Kluyveromyces lactis: one gene and its partner. Each later gene encodes a partner of the first gene's protein in a complex. Links are inferred from orthologs where the notes say so. Each region holds a gene or a part of one and is shown on either strand. Other genes may lie near its edges.

Region 1 (11,216 bases):
CAAAAGAGCTCAGCTGCTACTGTCTTCGACACAGTTTAGTATTATTCATAACACACACAATGCCTAACGAATTCTACGTGGAGGAGAACTTGTCTGGAAAGCAATTGAATCACCAATCAGCGTCTTTGGTAGTTCCTCAAATATTTAGAAATAAGGTATCGTCATGCATGTATTATAAATTTAATTTAACGCCCGCAAGTTTGAGGGGAGATACCATTGTCGAACTTATACCTGTTATTGTGAGAGATTTCGGGACTATGGATGAGCGGAAAACCCCGCATGTGACTGTCTTAGGTGGTATAGAGTTCAAATGTCTATTGATGAAATTGATCAACCTGCGACCTCCGTGGGAACAACTAAAAGTATTACTAGAACCGCATGAACCCTTAAACAACAAGTATATTGCAGCACTGGTATTATGTTATATGAGAATCTCGTATTATTTCTTAACTGAGAGTAATCCTTCCGAGCAAGATATATCGTTCAATTTATTACATGATTTAATGAAGAAATATATACTTGATCATAGAAAATTAAAAAGTTACTCGTTAGATATGGATTGTTGGTCATCATCGATTAAAAAAGAGATTAAATTGATACATTTCGATGAGTTGATAGACTGGTTATGCGACAGGAATGAAATTTGGGGCATCCCCTTAGGAAAATGCAATTGGTGTAAAATATGGGACGATGAAGAGGACGATGAGAGCTCAAGCGACTCGGACTCCAGCTCTGATCCAAGAGATGACAGTGATCAAATTTGATTCCATTCTTTCTTTTTTTGGAGGCATCGACTGGAAAGAACGGCTATTCATTATGAAAGATAATTATCAATAGTGTTTAATCATTCATCAAAACAAAGTCCATAACATCACTACATATTTATTTCCACATATGTTTTCTGATGTATATTAAAATGCCCTCTTTGGACGTTTAGGAGCATTCCCGTTACTCTCAAGTGATCTCTTCTTATTCGGATCACTTCCCACTTTACCTTGTTTCCTCAACCTGTTGACTTCCTGTTGGTCTACAAGCAACGCATCCAAATTGATACTATCTGGTAAAATAATCTGCCTTATCGTATTACCCCTAATGTTGATGAACTCGAGGCTAGTTGTTCTCTTAGATTCTTGTCCTTGTGTCGATCCACCTGACAATAAGACGGCAGCCAAGGTAGCTTCTGAGGTCTTAGTAGGGAGTGTCAGCCTGACGTCAGTAAGAGAGACGTTCATCTGCGGTGACACACTCCTCACTATTCCCCAAACAGTGGTACCATTCTTCAACTCTATAGACACCCTTTCATTCTTTAGTTTCTTTAAGAACCCTGTTAACTGCATTTTGTCTGTATATAAAACTTCGTTGTTTCAATCGGACTAAAGATACACCAGAAAGCTGTTACCAGTTTCAAATGGTTTTGATGAAAAAGAGTTTTGAATTTTGCAAAAGTAACAGATGATCCACAAGCAACTTCCTGATTTTGATAAAAGATCAGGATTTGATCGTAGTTACTCAATTGACATATTCTACATAATGATGGATGAAATGGTTCAAATTGATACTCAAGAATCAATGGGGTCGTTCTTTCCTGGAAAAGAGTGGAAATTTCATATTATCACGTGCCTTAACAGGGTAACTCATTTGCGTGAGATTCCAATGGTTTCTTACATTCGAGCGAGCATGTGTTCGAATCTTACATGGAACCCAAAAAGTATTTAGATCCGTTGCATCTCATGTTAAATGGTTAACAGATACACGGAGAAGTGCGATAAGAAACTATCCATGCAAGCGATAACAAAACGTTCTGTCAGTCATTGCTTTGATAAAATCTGGATATATATATATATATATATATATAGATGTTAAAGTCAGATATTACTCTTTTCATATCTCATGGATCGCAAGCTTTCAAGGTTACTGCTGCTCGCATCGAGAGATTGGGAGTATTAAAGATTAACGCCAAGAGTAAACATGTCGTCATCAGTAATCTTGAAGAGATATAATATTTTACTCAAACGTAACCCGTTATTAACTAAATGCATAACAGGCGCGGTATTAACTGGGTTAAGCGAACTGTTCAGTCAATGGGTTAGTCTGTCTCCAGAGGAAAGAAAAGAGAAGCTAAATTGGATCAAAGTGGCATTGATGAGTCTATATGGTGGTCTATTTAACGCACCAGTTAATCATTTCAGTTACAAATGGATAAACGAATACACAATTAGGAAAGTGGTATCCAAATATAGAAGCTTGGTCCAGTTAGGCTGCTCATTAGGCATGGTATCGCCTATTCAAGTGTTAGGGTTACTATTTACCTTGACTTCTGTTAACAACGGTAAGGTTGACAAAACAAAAATTATACACGCAATCAAGACAAGATATGCGGCAATGTTGTCTTCCAGCTTGGCAACATCAACGGTATTGATGTCAATTGCTCAAAGATACATTTCACCAGATAAATGGTCCGTATTTTTTAGTTTGGCATACGCAATTCTGGGTACGGCTCAGAATATTTATTTGAAGAAATTCAAGAAATAAGGGTCTTGATCCATTCTGATAAAATATTACTTTCATTCTTCAAGGAAAGAATCTCTCTCCGCAAATTCTCTTGAATCATTCGGTTTTTATCGTCCTCAGTTTGATCGTTTTCTGAAGACAAAGATATTGGACTCATCGGTAGTTTATTCCAATGTTCCAATTCGCTTTTCAAGCCTCTGTTCTCGTTTCTTAGCTTCTCGACTTCAGCATTGAGGCGTTCCAGACTTTGCTTTAAAGTCATGACTTCCTTATCCTTCAACCCAAGTTCATAGGTCAACTGTGCTAAATCTCCTTCTAATTCTGTAGTTCTAATATTCACCATCGATCGATGAAAATTATGGCGAGTGATATGCGTGTGTAATAATCCTTAGTTGAGTTTGCAAAATGAATTTGTTGTTAGTCCACAAAGCTGCTAATATTAAAAAGTCCTGTCACACTCCCTTTAAATATCAAGTGTCAGAGATCAGAAATAATATTCTGCACATTTGAATAAATGAAAGGGCACGTAAAAGAGAACTAAGCCAAAATATCGAGATGCCATCCATTGGTGCGATGTCTGCATATTAAGTTGGTTTGTCTTTGTGTTTAGGTCCATCAGACTGCCTTCCTTTTCTACTTTTTCTCTTTGATTTAGCTTTCTTATCTGATTCACTTGATGGATTTTTTTCTGGCTTAGTGTTTTCCTGCTTACGCTTCTCCGATTTCATTTCCTCCACATTGGCAGATTTAGACTTTATTTTTACCTTAGGAGTAACTTTAGAGGGAGTTTCCTTTGTTTCTTTGCTTGTTAAATCCTTCTTTACATCCTTGTCTTTGTCTTTATGTTTCTTTGATTTTTTACGTCTTGCTCTCTTCGTTACCTCCGAATCTGCAGGCATCTCTGGTTTGGGAACATCATCTTTCTTTGGTTTCAACAAAATCTTCTTCTTTGGCTTTTCTTCGGATGTTACCGCACTCTTCTCAGTTGTCGCAGTGTCAAATTTCGATGATTTCGGTTCAGATTTCGATTTAGGTTTAGATTTGGATTTGGATTTGTGTTTGGATTTAGACTTTTTGGGCTTCTCAACTTCTGATTTATCCTTAGAAACATCTTTCTCGTCCGGATTATCCTTGTTCTTTGCCTTAGCACGTTTCAGCTTCCTCTTCTTCTCTAATAGTCTTAACTTTTTCTTAATCTTTTTGATCCTCTTCTTCTTTTCTTCGCTTGTTGGATCACCAGCCAATTCTATTAGTGCTCTTTGCTTACGTCCGTTTAACTCTTCTTCCATTTTTTCTTCACGTTCTAATTCCTTTCTTAAAGGTGCAATAACACTTAAATTCTTGAACTGTAATGAGTTGGTTTCATCTTCATTAATCAATTTCCATGATTTGACAAAGGTTTGAAAGACATGGTCCTTTTGAATCGTGCCTTGAATAGGATTAACCTCGTTGGGACTGACCCACTTCTTAACGAACGGCGAGATTTGTAAATCTGGAATCATCGAGTTATCCAAATCATCTATGAATCTGCATGTTCTTATTGTTTTTGACAACGATTGAATGGTTTCGAAGGAGTCCAATTGGATATATGCCCTAGACAAAGTCTGTTTCTTGAACACCTTGCTGGAGTAATGACCTTGCACGTAGTAGAATGATTTTTGAAATGAATGCACATCGATGTTGTTCTCTTGTAAAGTGCTGATGAATTGCTCTTCTGTTAAATTTGGTGGTAAAGATCGAATACATAATTTGAATTCACGGGAAGAGTCAGCACTCCTCTTCCGGTACCTCCTTCTATTTCTTTTCTTAGAGAGCATTCGTGAAAGAACGCAGTTTTACTGAAGGATCTTGTCTGAGGTATTGTGATAACAGCTCATGTTTTCGTTAGGGATGCATTTGTGATGAAGAACAGATGTGCTAACTGAAATTTTTTAGTGCAATTAAGTAAAATAATACTATGACAAACATAAATGCAAATTGAACCGTAATCGTATCAGTAAGCTGGTAGAAACGTGAATATACCCAACGCAAGTCGGGGTTACAAATATGAATACAACATCGCAGTATAAAGCTTAATGGATTTCAAAATGTGTGTATTTGAGATATATCTACATAGTAATAAATACCGACACACAGATACACATCATATAAGAAAAGACATCTTTAAATATGGAATAATTGTGGGAAAGAATATGTATTGATAAAGTGAACAATTTGTCAACGTTACATTTATTCGTAGATCCAAGACAATTGGTTCAACTTGTAGTCAATAAGTTCTTCCTTCTTGAACCACAAGCCGATTTCCTTTTCAGCAGATTCAACAGAGTCAGAACCGTGACAGACATTTCTACCAACTTCAATGGCAAAGTCACCTCTGATGGTACCTGGAGCAGATTGCAATGGGTTGGTAGCACCCAAGATAGCACGACCTTGCTTAACAACATCCTTACCTTCCCAGACAGTAGCTAAAACTGGACCAGAAGTCATGTAAGACAATAGAGATGGGAAGAATGGCTTGGAAACCAAGTCAGCGTAGTGCTCCTTCAACAAAGCTTCGGTTGGAGTAACCAACTTAATACCAACCAATTTGTAACCTCTGTCTTCAAAACGAGCTAAGATCTTAGAGATCAAACCTCTTTGAACACCATCTGGCTTGATAGCAATGAAAGTTCTTTCAGTGTTAGACATTTTTCTCGAGTTAGTTAATACGTGATTCTGTGTACGATCCTGCTATGAACTAAGAATCAATGGAACATAAGCAATCGCTAACCCCAGAAGTTGAAATAAAGTGCATGGAAAGAAGAAAGTTACTGCAAATTGAAATCAACGAAATTGAAATATTTCTCGAGAGAGCCAACGAATGAGGATCCGATTCATGCTCGATGAGATTGGTGCAGACGAAGAAATGCCGGGGAAAATCGAAAATGAGAGAAAATTTTTCCGGCACGTGACTTTGATTAGTTGATGTTTGGGGCTTCTTACTGAGGAAGCTGTAAAAGTATGGTTCATCATACACAATAGCAGAAAGGTGTCCATATCGTTAGCAAGCGCATTCGGAGGTTGGGATTAGGCGAAACACTGTATGTAAACCCCAAAGAGTGTTTATGGATATATGTCGAGGCAAGTCTTCAAGTGACTTTATCGATCACGTGACAAGAAAAATCAACAAACGGAAATCATGGTCTCTTGAAACATTGTACCTGGCTCATCTAATATTAAGGTTAGAATCAGACAAATCAGAAAAACTTCTGGTTGACATTTGACTCAGATCACCTTTATAGGACAAACTTTGAATTGAAAAGCGCCAGTGGATTTTCCTTTGTGGTTTTTGGTTATGGACCATTTCTTTGGGGCTCTAAAGGCAGGTGATTTTAGTGTATTGGATATAAACATCGAAAGAAATGGACAATTAATTCTTGAATTGCAACAGTTTTTGAGATCCAATGACAGCATTGACCTTGAGACCCTGATAAATTCACATTCTCTTTATGAGAACAGATGGACCAGGTTTAATAATTTGGTAAGTTCATTTCTTGGGTACTGTAAAGAACTGAATCCATATTCATTATGGGAATCGTCCTTCTCTGTGTTCCAATATTACCAGGATTTGAATACATGTCTCACAAACGAGACAACAATGTACCCTATTGATTCTTTGGTACCACTGTTTACAGCTACAACAGAATTGGTCATTCCAATGGCTATTAGATTGGATGCTAACCATAAGATCATTGGTACAAGACAGCATCAGTTTCTGACCCATATTGCTTCCATCATTTCCAAATTGTTCAATAGCATTAAAGCCAGGGTCGATGATGATAAGGTCGAATTTGATCATTTGTCAGGGAAACAGAAGGTCTTGCTTTATATTTCAAACAAATTGAACATGATTTATTTCAAGATTAACTCCCCATCTTCGTGCGCTAACATCTTCAAGAATTTGAAACCAAAGTCTAATATCTATTCGTTCAACCAATACCCGTTGACAGAGAGAATCCAGTATAGGTATTACTTGGGGAGATATTACCTATTAAACCATAGAATGGTTAATGCTTTCCATCAGTTGAACCAATGTTACGAACTCCTAGCCACATTACCCGACTCTATTGCGAAACAGAACAACAGGAGAAGATTGTTGAAGTTTTTAGTTCCATGTGGTATCATTATCAGCAAGTTGCCAGATTTCAACAAGTTATCTCAATGGGACCCTATCCTAGCACAGAAATACACAGCTCTTGTGATTGCCGTTAAAAACGGAAACTTGAACAGAGTAAACTTCTGGCTTTACGAGAACGAATCGTGGCTGAAATCATCTAAATTGTTGATTGTTCTATTGGAAAAGCTACCCATTATAACGTTCAGATCCCTTTTGCGATCTATTTTCCTATACTACTGTATACCGCGCAATTCAAATAAACTACCATACTCTGTGATAAGACCAATTCTAGCAAAATCCATCGGTTTATATCCACCTGAAATGCCATCGATATATAAAGACAATTACACCGCAGAATCACTTGAAAATATCCTTGTCACACTTTCAATTCAACAATTGTGGAAGGGAAATGTGTTTCCAAGCCTGCAAGTGTGCGTTACGATGAAGACTAACGATATCTCAGTAATCTTCCCTAATATCAATGAAAAGATCGTCTCTAGATTTTCGTTGAACCAGGAAGATTCCTGGCTCGATAAGTAAATGATAGATAATATACATATAGTATGTAAAAATAGATGACACAGCCCCTCCTAACCTGATTCGGGTCCCACTATCATACCCAGTCGTGAAACACTTTTGGAAGACTCAATTTTTACAGACATGTCTATATAGATATAAGAATGCTCTCACATATATCTGTTTGTCTTCCAGGTCACATTCTGCAAAAAAAAGTAAGAAATTGAAGAGAAGTTGAAATTTTGTTGAAGTTTCCATTATTTTTGTAAAAGGACTGATGATTACAACAGAAAACAAAGAGAGAAGGAAACATCCTTATAGCTAACTACTTTGTTAACAAGCTTTTAGCCATCAACAAAGAGTAGTGATATAGGGCTGTTCTTTGTTTGAGCTATTGAATTTTCCTATAGTGAGTGAGTGTTTCTTGTTGAAAAGAAAAGGTGCAAGAAATACTTCCAAACACAGGTTTTAAGCTTGTTGTGGTTTTTATTTACAAGAACGCTAATCATAATCACTTTACAAGAAATTCAGAAGGAATTTATCCCAATTTTTTCACAGGTAAGGACTGGGTTTTATTATAATTATTATTTTTTTTATTGACCTTTGAACTTTATCTTCCCTTGTAAAGGTTAATTTGCCATTGCATAAGTTCATCTATCTATAGAGCGTTTTGTCTCCGGAGTGCTAAAATATCACAATGTCAGATAATGGGCCAGATTTGTGGCTTGAGAAGATCAAGAAATGTCAGGCTTTGACGGAGTCTGAGATGAAACAGCTATGCGAGATGATGAAGGAACTCTTAATGGAAGAATCGAATATTCAGCCGGTTCAATCGCCGGTGACTGTTTGTGGTGATATTCACGGACAATTTCATGACCTTTTAGAACTATTCAGAACTGCTGGTGGGTTTCCTGATCAAGTAAACTATATTTTTCTTGGTGACTATGTAGATCGTGGTTATTACAGTTTGGAGACGTTCACACTTCTTATGTGTTTGAAAGTGAAATATCCTTCCAGAATTACTTTGGTTAGAGGAAATCATGAGTCGAGGCAAATTACACAAGTTTATGGGTTTTATGAGGAATGTTTAAATAAGTATGGTTCCACAACGGTTTGGAAGTATTGTTGTCAAGTGTTTGATTTCTTAACTTTGGCAGCTATTATTGACGGGAAAATTTTATGTGTGCATGGTGGTTTGTCTCCCGAGATTAGAATGCTTGATCAGATCAGAGTTCTATCGAGAGCCCAAGAAGTTCCTCATGAAGGTGGCTTCTCCGATTTGTTATGGAGTGACCCCGACAACGTGGAAGCATGGCAAGTCTCACCTCGTGGTGCCGGATGGTTGTTCGGTAGCAAAGTCTCACGAGAATTTAATCATGTGAATGGCCTAAGCCTAATCGCAAGAGCTCACCAGCTAGTTATGGAAGGATTCAAATACCATTTTCCGGAGAAGGATGTTGTAACGGTATGGTCTGCACCTAATTATTGTTATCGATGTGGTAATGTGGCGAGTGTCATGAAAGTCGAAGATGATTTAGATCCAACATTCAAAATTTTTTCCGCTGTACCTGACGATTACATCCAAGAAACAAACAATAATAACCAAAGAGGTGGATATTTCTTATAGAGCGACATTGCAGCGGCCTTTTTGTCTGTATAATCTTCTATGCGAACTTACATCGGACTAAACATTCTTTTTCTCCTTCTATTTGAGAATTCCTTCTTAATATACTGTACACTAGAAATCAAACATTTACCTAACTTTTACGAATTCAAAGATATCCATCAGGAATTAGGATTTAATTGGAAAGTGGACTATAAACAACGTAATTTTTAATGGGTTGAAATCATTACTGAGAAACCAACCCCCCTGAAACTTAAATAGTCTAAAACCCGGTAATATATATAGATATATGTATTAATGATAACGTTTAAACTGCCATTATGTCTTTCACGAGGCTTCACAGAGTCCTGATCTAATCCAAACTAGATCATCGAATATATTCAATTTGATATGGAATCATATATAGAATATCGTGTGTAGAATAGGTTTTTTTTTTTCTTACCAGTATCTCTTCAGCTCCAAAGCTGCATTGAAATATTTAAAATTTCAAGAGCATTTTATACAAAAAATGTAGCCATATGATTGCACTTATAACTTTCATAAATGATGTGATACCAACAAAACGCAGCATTTTGGTTACTCACATCGGGAATAAACGGTTTAACAATAACAAGGATTGCTAATACAGTATCAACTATAAATTGTAATGTTACGCAGCATTGTTCGCGTCCCTAGTATTACTTTTGCTTCTAAAGAAGCAATGAGACCAGTGCTAAGGAAAACTACCTTGGCCCATTTTATGAATCATTACAGATCGTTATCCGTATCTGCAACCAAGTTACAAGAGATTAAGAAATATGACCCTGCCCCTGCAGTAGGTAGTCCAAAACCTAAGAAGAAGCCATTAAGTAGGATACCCATTGGCGGTGCTGAAACTCATACCCAAAAAGTTGATACAGGTTCTACCATCGAATTTACTACCTGGAAAGCAGCAGCTTTGTTCATTCTTATCGGAGGCGGGGTGTACTATTTCTTTAAAAATGAGAAGCAAAGATTAGAGACCGAGAAGGAGGCGGAAGCTAACAGAGGTTACGGTAGGCCATTGGTCGGAGGTCCCTTTAGTTTGATTGATTTTAATGGGAATCCATTTACAGAGAAAGACTTGCTAGGCAAGTTCTCTATCATCTATTTTGGTTTCAGTCATTGTCCAGATATTTGTCCAGATGAGTTAGATAAGTTAGGAGCATGGTTAACTGAGTTAAAGAAGCGTGACATCAATTTGCAACCTGTTTTCATTACTTGTGACCCGGCTAGAGATCCACCAGAAGTCTTGAAAGAATACCTAAGCGAGTTCCACCCTGACATTATCGGTTTAACTGGTGACTATGATGCCGTGAAGAATGCTTGCAAAAAATACAGAGTCTATTTCTCTACTCCACCAAACGTCAAACCTGGCCAGGATTATTTAGTTGATCATTCCATTTTCTTCTACTTGATGGACCCAGAAGGTCAATTCATTGATGCCCTAGGTAGAAACTATGACGAACAGACTGGTGTTGAAAAAATCGTCGAACATGTATCTGCTTATGTTCCAAAGGAAGAACGTGAAAAGAGAAAGGACAAATGGTATTCCTTCTTGTTTTAAACACATTTATCTTGCTTTCTTGTAAATAAATAAAGCGTGTTTCGCAACTTCATGTAAGCTCAGTATTTAACATTAACACATCAAATATACGTTTTCAGTAGGGTATTTTCATTCTTGAATTACGGACGTTACGTTAGCCATATAACGATGAGGCATGAAATTTATATATGAGAATTATGGACTGAAATTAACAACTAAAAAAGAGAAGTGGGGGCCTCATTGTTCGTGAGCAATATGCAAGCAATGTCAACCCTTGTAATATGACGGGTCCTATAATTGTGATGTTCTCTCAATTCTTACCGGCACCGGCTCTGAAGTAGATGATATCACCGTCTTCAACAACGTATTCCTTACCCTTCTGTTGCAATTTACCTGCGGCCTTAATGGCATTGTCATCTTTGTATTCGACCACATCTTCGTATTTCATAACTTGAGCTAAGATGAAAGTGTTCATTAAATCATTGTGAATGACACCTGCAGCTTGGGGAGCTTTAGTTCCTCTTCTAATAGTCCATTCTCTAACTTCATCTGGACCACAAGTGAAGAAGGAGATCAAATCCAACTTTTCTCTCATGGTGGTAACGATCTTTGGTAGAGCAGATTGAACGCCTAGGTTCTTTAGTTCTTCTTCAGCTTCTTCTTCTGTCATATGGGATAATTTTTCTTCTAGACAGACAGAGAATGGAATGATCAAATCACCTGGGGAGTATTTGTCAACCCATTCCTTAATCTTCAACAAATGCTTGTTCTTCTTTCTGATATAATCTCTTTCGGATAAGTTAATCAAATAAATAGAAGGTTTTGCTGTCAACAAGAACATAGAG
Region 2 (11,124 bases), on another chromosome or scaffold:
TTTGATTAAGGGGAATCACCGTAATATACCATTTGTATAATGTGGGCTATCCAAAACCACTCTGACAGAATCATTTCACCACCAGTAACACCAGTAAGGATATTCAGGCTATTTATAACTAAGAAGCAAATGACCTCCAAAGATGTTATCGACGTGTATGAAACGGTTCAAATACCCACCTTTCTGGCATCACCTATGTTTTTAGTCAAGGGCTTTCCCAGTTCCAATGTCATTGGAAAAACGTATTTTACTAACAGTTTTGAAACTATTACCTCATTATTTTTCCTATAGACTTTTGGTAAGAAGAAGTCTGCTACTGCCGTTGCCCACGTTAAGGCCGGTAAGGGTTTGATCAAGGTTAACGGTTCTCCAATCACCTTGGTGCAACCAGAAATCTTGAGATTCAAGGTTTACGAACCATTGTTATTGGTTGGTTTGGACAAGTTCGCCAACATCGACATCAGAGTTAAGGTTACCGGTGGTGGTCACGTCTCTCAAGTCTATGCTATCAGACAAGCTATCGCTAAGGGTTTGGTTGCTTACCACCAAAAGTTCGTCGATGAACAATCCAAGAACGAATTGAAGAAGGCTTTCACTTCTTACGACAGAACCTTGTTGATCGCTGATTCTAGAAGACCAGAACCAAAGAAATTCGGTGGTAGAGGTGCTAGATCTAGATTCCAAAAATCTTACCGTTAATCAGGATCCTATGGAAATCATCATATCAATTTTCTATTGTATCTTATATTATCAACATATATACTACATCTACATACTGTATAGCCTAATATCACGGGTAGAACGTTAATATTTCACCTTACTCGTTCGTTTGCAGTTCATTCATTTCCAGTCATTGAGCAGACATACTGACACGTTACAGTTATTAGGTGCCAATGCCCCACTTCCCATCTACTAACTAGCTAATTACAATGAAAGAGTGTTATGCGCCAATAATTTCTACATATTTGGCGCATTCTCCACGAACAAGAAACGTTCCTGTTGAGCTGCAGGATCTTGACCGTATGTGCGACCATTTGGGCAGATACAGTTTCATTGCGCATGACTCTGTTTGGACTTCGCCCGCTTCACAATTGATCAAACCCGAAGTACTTTTTCCCGAACGTGATTCTTGAAATTTCATAATACGCGTCGTTTCGCGTCAAAGTGCACAATCCTAAAATGATAAAGATTTAAAATACCATCAGGGAATAAAAGGAAATACGGTGTAGCGCGCTATCAAACCAAGTCCAACCTCAGTCGAGTATTAATTACAGCAGCGAGTGTATACATACCAAACATACAAGTTCCCAAAGGCAGGCCTGCTTGCTGAAAAATCGATAATAACAGTAATTCAAGATTGATATCGGGACATAAAGGTTGAGAGCATAGCAATATTTGCGACTAGCACTTCATTTGGGATGACAGAAACTCAATTAAAGACTGAGGGAGAGGTAAATAATGTTCATTCACCGTCCGTGATATTTACGCCTAACGATTTGGAGAGAAAGAGTTCGACCATTTCGAATACTTCGTCAATATCGACGCAGGAGGATTCATTGAACGACCAAGTAAGTTTAGCTATAGAAAATGCTCAGAGAACCTTGAATACCTTAAATGCGTTACAATCTACAGCGGAGATACCTGCTTCGAATCACAAAGGGGATACGGGTTCTGATGATACGAAAAATGGTACCGCAGATGAGAAAGACAAAGATGTAAACAATGACATTATTACCTCATTACGGCATTTAATGACAGCGTTAACCAAATCACAAGAACGGGCCAAACAATTGACGTTGAAGAATATGTTTCTAGTACAAAATCTCAACGAACTTCAGAGCGGGTTCCAAGTGGAACAAAATCTCGCCAAGCAACAATTTGAAAGTATGAAATACAATTTGATGGTACAAAAGACAGACCTACAGAGACAGTTAGAGGGTACTTCGGTCAAGATCACAAAATACAGAGAAACGATCATGTCGAAAAACAAAGAAATCAACAGACTTTCCAGATTATTGAACCAAAGCCAAGTCTATAATCCTCGCCTCTCTAGACCAACTTCCGTGCCATCTGCATCGGTCAGGAAGCCATTTATTTCAAGACAGTTACACTCGTCGGATTCCAACATGTTAAACACATTAGGAATACTTGCTACAAAGGTTCTTAAAGAGGAACAAAATCCGGAAAATGGAAGCATTCATGGGTCGACACTCCAACATTCTCCAATTGAAGACAAGCCAGAGAATCTTGATAATACCGAATCTGACATCTCTCATGATAGTACTCAGCTTGTGAATCATAGCCAGCAGTTTAATAATGGACTTAGTCCCTCAACAGCAAACATGGTGACTCCAGCCGCATCAGTTCCAGCAGCGCAGCATTTACCAAGTCTGAGTACGGTATCAGAGGTGACACCTGATTCACATTTGATTAGGATCAACAGCAGTTCAAATCAGAAAATAGAGCGTCCTGAACTGCCTATATTGCATCTCAATAGGCCATCGCTTCCGAAAGGTGCGGCACTACCAAAATTACGGAGTTTTAATACAGCAGATGGGACTGTAAAGGATGTCTTGTAAGAACATACTCTTTATTTGTTTTTACCCCAGAGTTATTATTCTATTTCTTATTTTCGTCTGCAGGAAGACCAAATGACAATAATAACACATAAAAATAAAAGAAACAGACGTCGTTTCTGCCGAACCACGCCAATGACACGGTTCGACTACAGAAAGCGTAACCTGCTTGTCCAGAAAGGCCCATATGTTTACTTTTCTCACCTGTAAAAGCTGACAAGCGGCTTGATAGACCTTATGTACATCACATAAATCCAGTTTATATTATATTCATGACAGACGTCTCCGCTTTAATTATCTGCAAGGGCATATGAGGAAACACTAATACCTAAACCCGACATACAATGAAGCTTTTTTTCATGAGAATTGAATTGATTTTATACACTTATACTCCAATTATGTTACTTAGTTATAATGGGACTATTGGAAATTCGTTTTAAACTGTATAAAAACCACATTTTATTTGATAATACACATTCCAGCTTGTTTTTGCAATTTTCTAGTTTTGGTAAAAAATTCTGAAGTAAAACGCTATGATGAAATATCTAAGTGTTCAAATAAGTAGATGGATCAACACCTTCTTCTGGGAACTCAGTGATCTTAACATCAAATCTTTCTTGGATCTTGGCCAAGACTTGTTCGTCATCTTCACTAGATATCATGGAGATAGCCAAACCCTTGGTACCGAATCTACCAGCTCTACCAACACGATGCAAGTATTGGTCTGCTTCGTTTGGCATATCATAATTAATGGCCAAGTTAATACGTTCGATATCAATACCTCTACCGAAAACATCAGTGGAAACACAAATACGTTTTTCGAATTCCTTGAAAGCCTTGTAACGAGCAATACGTTCTTCTTGTTTCATGTGACCATGCACAGTGATGGCTGGGAAGTTAGAAGCATTCAATAGTTTGGTCAATTCGTTAGCTCTGACAGTAGACTTGACGAAAATGATAACTTGGTTGAATTCCAAATCGTCCAACAATTGAGCCAACTTACGGTTCTTTTCCTTTTCATTCAATTTGATATAGTATTGTTGCAAACCGTGTAGAGTCAACTTGGCTTCGTCATCGACAAAGATTTCTAATGGATTTTGAAGGAATCTTCTACAGATTGGTCTGATTTCTTGGGATAGAGTTGCGGAAAACATCATAACTTGCTTATCTCTTGGGGTGGCTCTAAAAATATCTTGAACATCTCTTCTCATATCCAATTCTTCCAAGACCTTGTCACATTCATCAATGACAAAGTTCTTGACGTGAGATAGATCGATATGCTTGTCTCTAACCAAAGCCTTTAAACGACCAGGAGTGGCTACAATGATATGAGGGACGGTTTCCTTCTTGGATAGCAAATCAATATCGTTCTTATATTCAGTACCACCGTAAAATACAGCAGTCTTAACGTCTGGCATGTATTTGGAGAATCTCAAGTATTCGTTTCTAATTTGGTAAGCCAATTCTCTCGCGTTACATAGCACGACGACACTGACTTCACCTTGAACTGGATCCAATTGTTGCAAAGTAGACAACACGAACACAGCAGTCTTACCTAGACCAGACTTAGCTTGACATAAGACGTCAGTACCATGAATGGATTGAGGAATGGTATGTTGTTGCACTTCAGAAGGATGTTCAAAACCACAGTCAATGATAGCTCTGGACAATTCTGGCTTCAACAAGAAATCCTTGAAACCAGTGGAGTGAATACCAACATAAGAACCTTTCTTATCAGAATCCTTTGCTTGGCTCTCACCGTTACCCTCGGCATTCACTTCAGTGGCCTTGTTGTCAACTTGAACTTCTTGTTCGTTATCGGAATACTCCAATAAATCCTCTTCTGCTTCGTGAGACATTGTTTCGGTTGGGTCTTCTTCCTTGTGGTTGACAATACCAAGTTGCTTCTCAACAAGTTCTATCCTTAGATTAAACACGTATAAATCCTTAATTCAATTAACAACCGTCAGAGCACAACACGCACCTTTTCTTCATAATCTATGCCAAATTATTGTTTTGAAATTCTCTTACCTTTCGCTGTTTTTTTCTTACGTTCTCATTTCGTCGTTAAAACAGATATATTTCACTGTCGTCAGGAGTGATACCACGTACTACATGTAAGCAGTCAATTTTGCCACTGAGAAGTGACATTGGTTGATCACGTGAAATAATGCGGGTAATCTAGAACCCAATTAAATGCAGAAATGACAATAACAAGTCACGTGAGTTCAACAGCGCAAGTAGATAATGACTCTTCAAGTAAGCGCGCTTGATTGAAAATGTTGCAAAGAGTGACACGGGCATCAGGATCATGTATTTCTCTATACAACCGCGACTCATTCTCAGATATAGTTCGAATTAATTGCCGTATAGCGTCCCTTTGAGTGCGCGAATTATTGATGGCAACGGCTGGTAACGGCGTTGCGTTGGTGATTATTTCCTTAAGCATGACAGACACAGAGGTAAAGTTAACCATATCTTTGGTAGCCACCGCTGAATTCGAATCTTGTGTGATTTTCTCAAAAGTGACCGCAATATTATTATCCTTGTTTAAACAATTCGTGAGTAGGTCATTTCCCCAGGGAACCGTATACAATTTACCGTTTAGCTTGTGCGTTTTGACTAATTCTAGACATTGTGACCAGTCCCAATGTTCCGTCTGTGTTAACCCTTCCAAAACGACTAGGTCCGTAGAGTTAGCGTCTATACGTTTCAAAATGGAATTTAGATCTTGTAAGAATTGTTCCTTTGCTTCTTCAGGAGAGATGGGACTTAACTCCCTTGTAATTGGTTCACATAGCAAAGATATTGTCACATCTTTCTCTGTGCCAGCATTTACCTGCTGAATCTTCACTTTTAATGCAAAAAATATCATCTTATTGGCTTCGTTTGAGCCATGTGGAACGTATTTACAGATGTAGTAAAACTGATGGCATCTTTTTAATTTGGATTGCAAGCACCGAAGGAATAAATCATGCAATTGACTAAACTTGTTTTTCCATTGCCTAAAATCTTTAAATTTAGCGTTCAATACCCCCTCGCCCGTCATACCATATACCGTTTCTTCCCCATGTCGTCTTATGAAACCAGTGATCCATTTATTTCCCAAGTGTACCGCCCTTGTTGTGCTGGGTATGCACTCTCTTAAATCTGAGATCAATGGCAGATTACCATAAGCTAATACATAACCCTGCATATTTCGCACCATGTCGGATTCTGCTTCCGGGCTGAATCTCATTTGAGATAAGTGAGAATACGTTCTCGTTGTCTGATTTCTTAACTGCATTTGTAAATCGTGTTCATTATTTTCATCAGAGATTTCATCACTCTGGCCTCCAGCGGCGTTTGCCTTAGTTATCGTTCTTTGCCTCTTTTGTCCTTGATCTGCCTTCATCCTATCGTATAGCGTACTCTTAGGTATTTGAAAATGGAGTGCAATCTGTCTGATTGTGGGCTTTCGTTTTTTACCATATTTACTAGGTTTCAACACGTCCTTCTTGGGCTTAATATCATGCTCTGAATTATCAGTCCCTTCTTTACTATGTTGTTCCCGAATAAAATCCAACGCCAGCCTGATTCGCTCTTCTTTACCTTCCGGTAGGTCTTTTTCCAATAGAGTTTCCATTATATTACTGGAAGTTGTAGATCTTATCTTCTGCCCAATTTGCAACCTTATTTCGTGCGAATCACTTTCCAGTCCTCGTTAGCGCCGTCTGCTCACTACCTATAACGAGATCTAGCTTTATCTTGGAGTATCTGATTTAATAGAGAAAATACAAGCAGTGACGTGAGTAAAAAGCGTTGTTCAATGAAGCACAGTTTGGAATCAAGTTTGTCAATAAATCTCCTCCACAGTAAAGTGGAAATATGCAACAAAATATTACCTTTAGAGAATTGTTCACACTGATTCATTCTCATCACAGTAAGACGAGTTCTTATTTTCAAGAATAAGAACGAAACGGACTATCTTTACTTTTTCACAGGTGTCTTACTGTGAATGAAAACAAAGACGTCAAAAGTGTTTGTCCGACAAAATCATCAGTTCATTTGTGCTATAATTTCGATATGCTGAGAGAGGAACGCAGGTGTCACCATGGTTTCCTTCACCGGACACTATATCACGTGACCAATTTTCTGCTCAATTCCATGATTAGTACAGGAATTGAGTTATGTCATTCCGTCAAAACAGGTACATCAATGTACCTGTATCAATTACAGTTTTTGTAAAGTTATTTCTATTCGTTTCAAGGTTTCTGGTGTTAGGTTGCTTGGGATTGCATTTGGATATTGCCAAATATGAGAAAGACATTTGTAGTGCAAACCTGAACACAGAACCGCTGACATAATGCTTTCAGTTGAAAACGGTTACCTTCAGATGTGTGTGCACTGACACGGAAGAGGAGTTGTTTCTACTTCAAAACGGTATGAAGTTAACTTTTACAACGGAGAAAATTTCCGAAAAAAAAAAAATACTACGCGATAATTATGCACAGAACGAAAAACACGCGTCACTTGCATAAGAACGATCGATTTTCTCAAATCAAATTTGAGTAAAACGATTGCATTCAACTAAGAGAATGTAGACTAGCAACCAAACTTATATAAGTGTTAGACAGCTAATACTTGCAGCTTTGGAACAGGAAGAGTTGCGTTTTGTTTCTGTTCTTTTTTTAGAAAGAATACAGATGTCTGAACAAACACGATAGGCTAACAGTAAAAACTTGTTCCTGCTATAAGGTTTGCTTTGCAAAAGTTTCCATAATAGCAAAAACCGAAGATCATGCAATTTCTTCAAAAATTTGAGTTAGAATAGGATGGTATAATGTACTCCCTTTATCATTTATAAATGATCCAATGAAAACTCATGGATGGAGAACTCTGCGTGTAATACTAATAGTAAACATGTTTTTGCCATGGTCCTCTTTGTTATCTGTGTTGATGCTAATTTGATGCAAGATAATGGCTAATTTGAAAAAATCCATTCCTTAATAGCAAGAATTCAAATGTCTTGTGTCGTCTGATGTTTGTGAGTGAAAAAACACCTAAAAGCCACAACGACAAATCGAGACGACTCCGCATATTATGCGAATTAAATGAACAGGTAAAGGCTTACGGCCGAAAATTTGCCCAATCTTACTGATTAAAACAAATAGATTTTTTGCATTGTAAACTTCTCACAATGACCTTGCCTTTTGAGGAAATAGAATAGTCTGATAAAGTGATCAAAAGAACAAGACGAGCAGGTAGTAAATTGAATAGGAGGAAATCTTATATTATTTGTGTTAGATTGTCAGAGGAAATTAAAGTGTAACTGATTCACCTTCCTATCACTTTCTGAAGTATCTTACCATATTATCACTCTTTCAGGAAACTGACGCTTCTTTGCCGTCAAACTTTAAATTTCTTTTTATTCCTCGCCACAAAGATGCACATATTTTTAACGGTAATGTTGACACAATACCGAAAGTACAAAAAAACAAATCCCTAAATTTATGATATAGAAGGTACTATAATATTTCATCTATTACTATCGGAAGGAAGTTACTCAAAAAGCTTAAAGCAAACCCTTTGCATCATGGACCGTCAATTTTTTCTTTTTAATGAACAGTGCTACAACAGGACATATATATTTTCTTGGCATGGTGACAAATAGCATAAAAGCGGTGGAAAGGATATTTATTTTATTTATCAAATTAATTAATGGGTGATGTTTATGTAAATTGAATGAATATTAATGTTAAATGACTGAAACCCGATCAGTAATCAATCTTGTCTCCTCAGCGTAGATGGATAAGACAATGGGAGCAAGAAAAAAGAAAAAATTAGGATGTGATTGATCAGAAATCAGACGTTAACCACTTCAGATTTCATACCGATGAGTCTCTACCTAGGAAGTAAACTTTAGCCCAGTCCATAGCGACCAAGATTCTGTTTCTGAAGGAGAGACACATCCCTAGGTAAGCAGACTTCCAGAATAAGAAGGTGAAAGAACCGGCCATTTGATATTTGGATTCACCGACAGCAACGTCAGCAATGGCTTGTTCTGAACCAATGTAAGCAAGGGTACCTTGGTGGTTGTATTTGAAAGGTTTTTGTTGTTTCACAATTCTGTCCAACTTGGAGTGCAATTTAGAAGTTTCAGTGGCATTAGTAGTTTTCGAGATTTCCCATTTCAATTGATCAATCTTGTATTGTTGTTTCAAAGTTTCAGTCAAGTATTCAGCTTCTTGATGTGCCACTTGAGCTGTTGGGAAAAGACCTGGGAAGAAAGTACAGTCACCAATGGCCCAAATGGAGTCTTCAGCGCCTAATAGTTGCATCTTGTCATTGATCAATAAACCACGTCTGGAATTTTGTTGTTCCAATTTAGCCATCAAGTTCTTGGAAACTTCTCTTGGAGCGTTACCAGTAGCCCAAACCAACAAACCGTATGGGATATCTTCAGTTGCATCACCACATTGGGCAGTGATGGTAGTAGAGTTGACGTTCTTAACCATAGTCTTTAACTTGACATCGATTTTTTCCATGGCGAACAAGTCTTGGGCGTATTGCCATAGAGACTTATCAAACATATTCAAGATATTTGGTAAAGCTTCGACCAAAGTAACCTTAATTTCCTTGGAGATTTCAGGGATCCATTTAGACAAATCTTGGTCAACGTAATCTTGCAATTCAGCAGCAAATTCAACACCGGTTGGACCACCACCAACAACAACGAAACTCAACAATCTCTTGCGTTCAGGGTCGTTAGCAGACAAAGTAGCAGCCTTTTCAATGTTATTCATGATTTTAGTTCTAATATCTTGAGCGTCCGGAATTTCCTTCAAGAAGGAGGCGTTTTCGAAGACACCTGGGATACCGAAGGTAGTTGGTTGAGCACCAACACCGACGACCAAATAATCATAGTTCAAATCAAGTTCGTAGTCATGGTCTTTAGTAGCAGATTTTATTCTAACGGTCTTGGCAACAGGATCGATGTCCTTGGCTTCAGCCTCATAGTAATGAACTTCACCAGGTGAAGATCTGGTGATGGATCTGACAGGTTCGACAATGGACTTCAACTCAACGGTGCCGACTGGAGTAGAAGGTAGCAATGGAGTGAACAAGAAGTAGTTTCTTGGAGAAACAACAATAACGTTATACAAAGAAGTATCCAAATGTTTCAATAAGGACACAGAACCCCAACCAGTACCCAAAACGACAAGGGTTTTCCTTGGAGAACCGTTAGCGAAAGTGGCAGCTTGAGGAATTTGAGGAGGTGGATTAGCTTCCCTGTACAATTCATAGGAAACGTAACCAGTACCAGCCAACAAAGCCGCTAGAGAAACTTTCAAAGTGGTAGAAACCACTCTTCTTGCTAGCGATGGCTTTACTGGGACAACAGCTTTTTGGCCAATATTAGAAATTGATTTTGTACTAGAAAAAAATCTAGCACCGCGAGCGAAGCGAGCAGATGACGCACCGGCGTTCAAAGCTCTGCTAGAAGCAACAACACTCTTAGACGCAAACATGGTCACTATTGCTTTGCTTTATGTTATCTTTCAGACTGATAAACTAGTTATTATGCCTTCTATTTTTTTTTCCTGTCTGTACAGAATCCGTCCTTGCTGTGCGATGACTTTAAATGCAAGGTCCTTCTCTATTTTATATCAGTCAGTGATCTCTAACTTTTCGGATTTATTTTTTCGGTTTGGAAATTTCGATCAAAAATCGATTTTTCAATTTCTTTCCTTTCTTTTGGTGAGTGAGGCTTCAAAAAGAATGGCAGGTGCAATATACAGTCAGTTCCCTAATCGCTTATATTCTGAACAAGGTGCAGCAGAGCGTGCCTGTTATATATGATCTAAATCGGAGGACGTGCGGTATATACATCTTATGGCTCATATACATGTAACCGAAAAAAATACTACTACTATGTAAACTCGACAGTACGATGTTATAGTATGCAGGTGGAGAAGAACATCATCACTTAAAAGAGATATTTTTAAACAGAAATCCAAAAGGCACTACTGTTATTACCGATACAGAGGCATATTCTGAAAAACAAAACACCATTGAAGTGTGATTCGAAATGGAGGGGAAAGAAACCCCGCTAGTTACGAATAAACCGATATAGTGAAGATGACTAAGGAATCTATTACCATTATTCGCAGCTTAACTGGTTTGATTTCACATCTTTCATTTCGTTTTTGTGTGTTTATTCTAAGAGATCGTGCTGTGACAGAATGAAAATCGAAAAATCGGTTAGTTCAAAGTCATAATAACATCTGTACGAAGGAAAAAAGTAAACAAATGCCATGACAACTGCCAGAAAAATACGGAAAAGAAAAAAAAAACAAGACGTCGATTTCCATCAGGTGACGCTGAAGGTTGTTGACATATTTTCTGGTAGGCTTTAAGCAAGTGTACCGCTGCTACTACTGCGTTGGGTAAATTTTTTTGGAGCTATCCTCTCCAGCATGTTAGCACAATGTAGAAATTCTACATCTTTTAACCGTTTGCGCATGAGAATAGTTAATACGGTCTCTCGGTGTCAGAAATGCGATAT

What was found.
Region 2: the proteins of THP1 (region 1) and SUB2 are in contact, whole or in part, in a crystal structure (PDB 8U8C), measured with the Saccharomyces cerevisiae proteins. The link is inferred for Kluyveromyces lactis from reciprocal best matches to the Saccharomyces cerevisiae genes THP1 and SUB2. Residues at the interface, in NP_014569.1 of Saccharomyces cerevisiae: Lys362, Ile408, Asn409, Gly411, Arg414, Ala415, Asn416, Phe418, Leu421, Val425, Val426, Lys427, Arg442, Lys445, Met446; in NP_010199.1 of Saccharomyces cerevisiae: Leu10, Glu11, Tyr12, Ser13, Asp14, Asn15, Glu16, Ile19, Gln20.

The regions. Positions count from the first base shown.
Region 1 is NC_006040.1:311,837-323,052, reverse strand, and holds THP1 (Thp1p), read left to right. Parts: upstream 1-5,845; coding exon 5,846-7,207; downstream 7,208-11,216. Other genes in the region: U4/U6-U5 snRNP complex subunit PRP38, read left to right, coding at 60-764; mRNA splicing protein SMD1, read right to left, coding at 912-1,337; KLLA0_D03751g (uncharacterized protein), read left to right, coding at 1,969-2,532; KLLA0_D03740g (uncharacterized protein), read right to left, coding at 2,522-2,854; UPF3 (Upf3p), read right to left, coding at 3,096-4,328; YNK1 (nucleoside diphosphate kinase), read right to left, coding at 4,741-5,199; type 2A-related serine/threonine-protein phosphatase SIT4, read left to right, coding at 7,881-8,810; KLLA0_D03630g (SCO family protein), read left to right, coding at 9,454-10,392; OLA1 (Obg-like ATPase), read right to left, coding at 10,682-11,216. UniProt on the Saccharomyces cerevisiae protein: Component of the SAC3-THP1 complex, which functions in transcription-coupled mRNA export from the nucleus to the cytoplasm.
Region 2 is NC_006041.1:1,953,081-1,964,204, reverse strand, and holds SUB2 (ATP-dependent RNA helicase SUB2), read right to left. Parts: upstream 4,436-11,124; coding exon 3,122-4,435; downstream 1-3,121. Other genes in the region: RPS16B (40S ribosomal protein uS9), read left to right, coding at 292-699; FDO1 (Fdo1p), read left to right, coding at 1,419-2,579; KLLA0_E21913g (uncharacterized protein), read right to left, coding at 4,795-6,201; KLLA0_E21891g (uncharacterized protein), read right to left, coding at 8,444-10,087. UniProt on the Saccharomyces cerevisiae protein: ATP-binding RNA helicase component of the TREX complex involved in transcription elongation and required for the export of mRNA out of the nucleus. SUB2 also plays a role in pre-mRNA splicing and spliceosome assembly.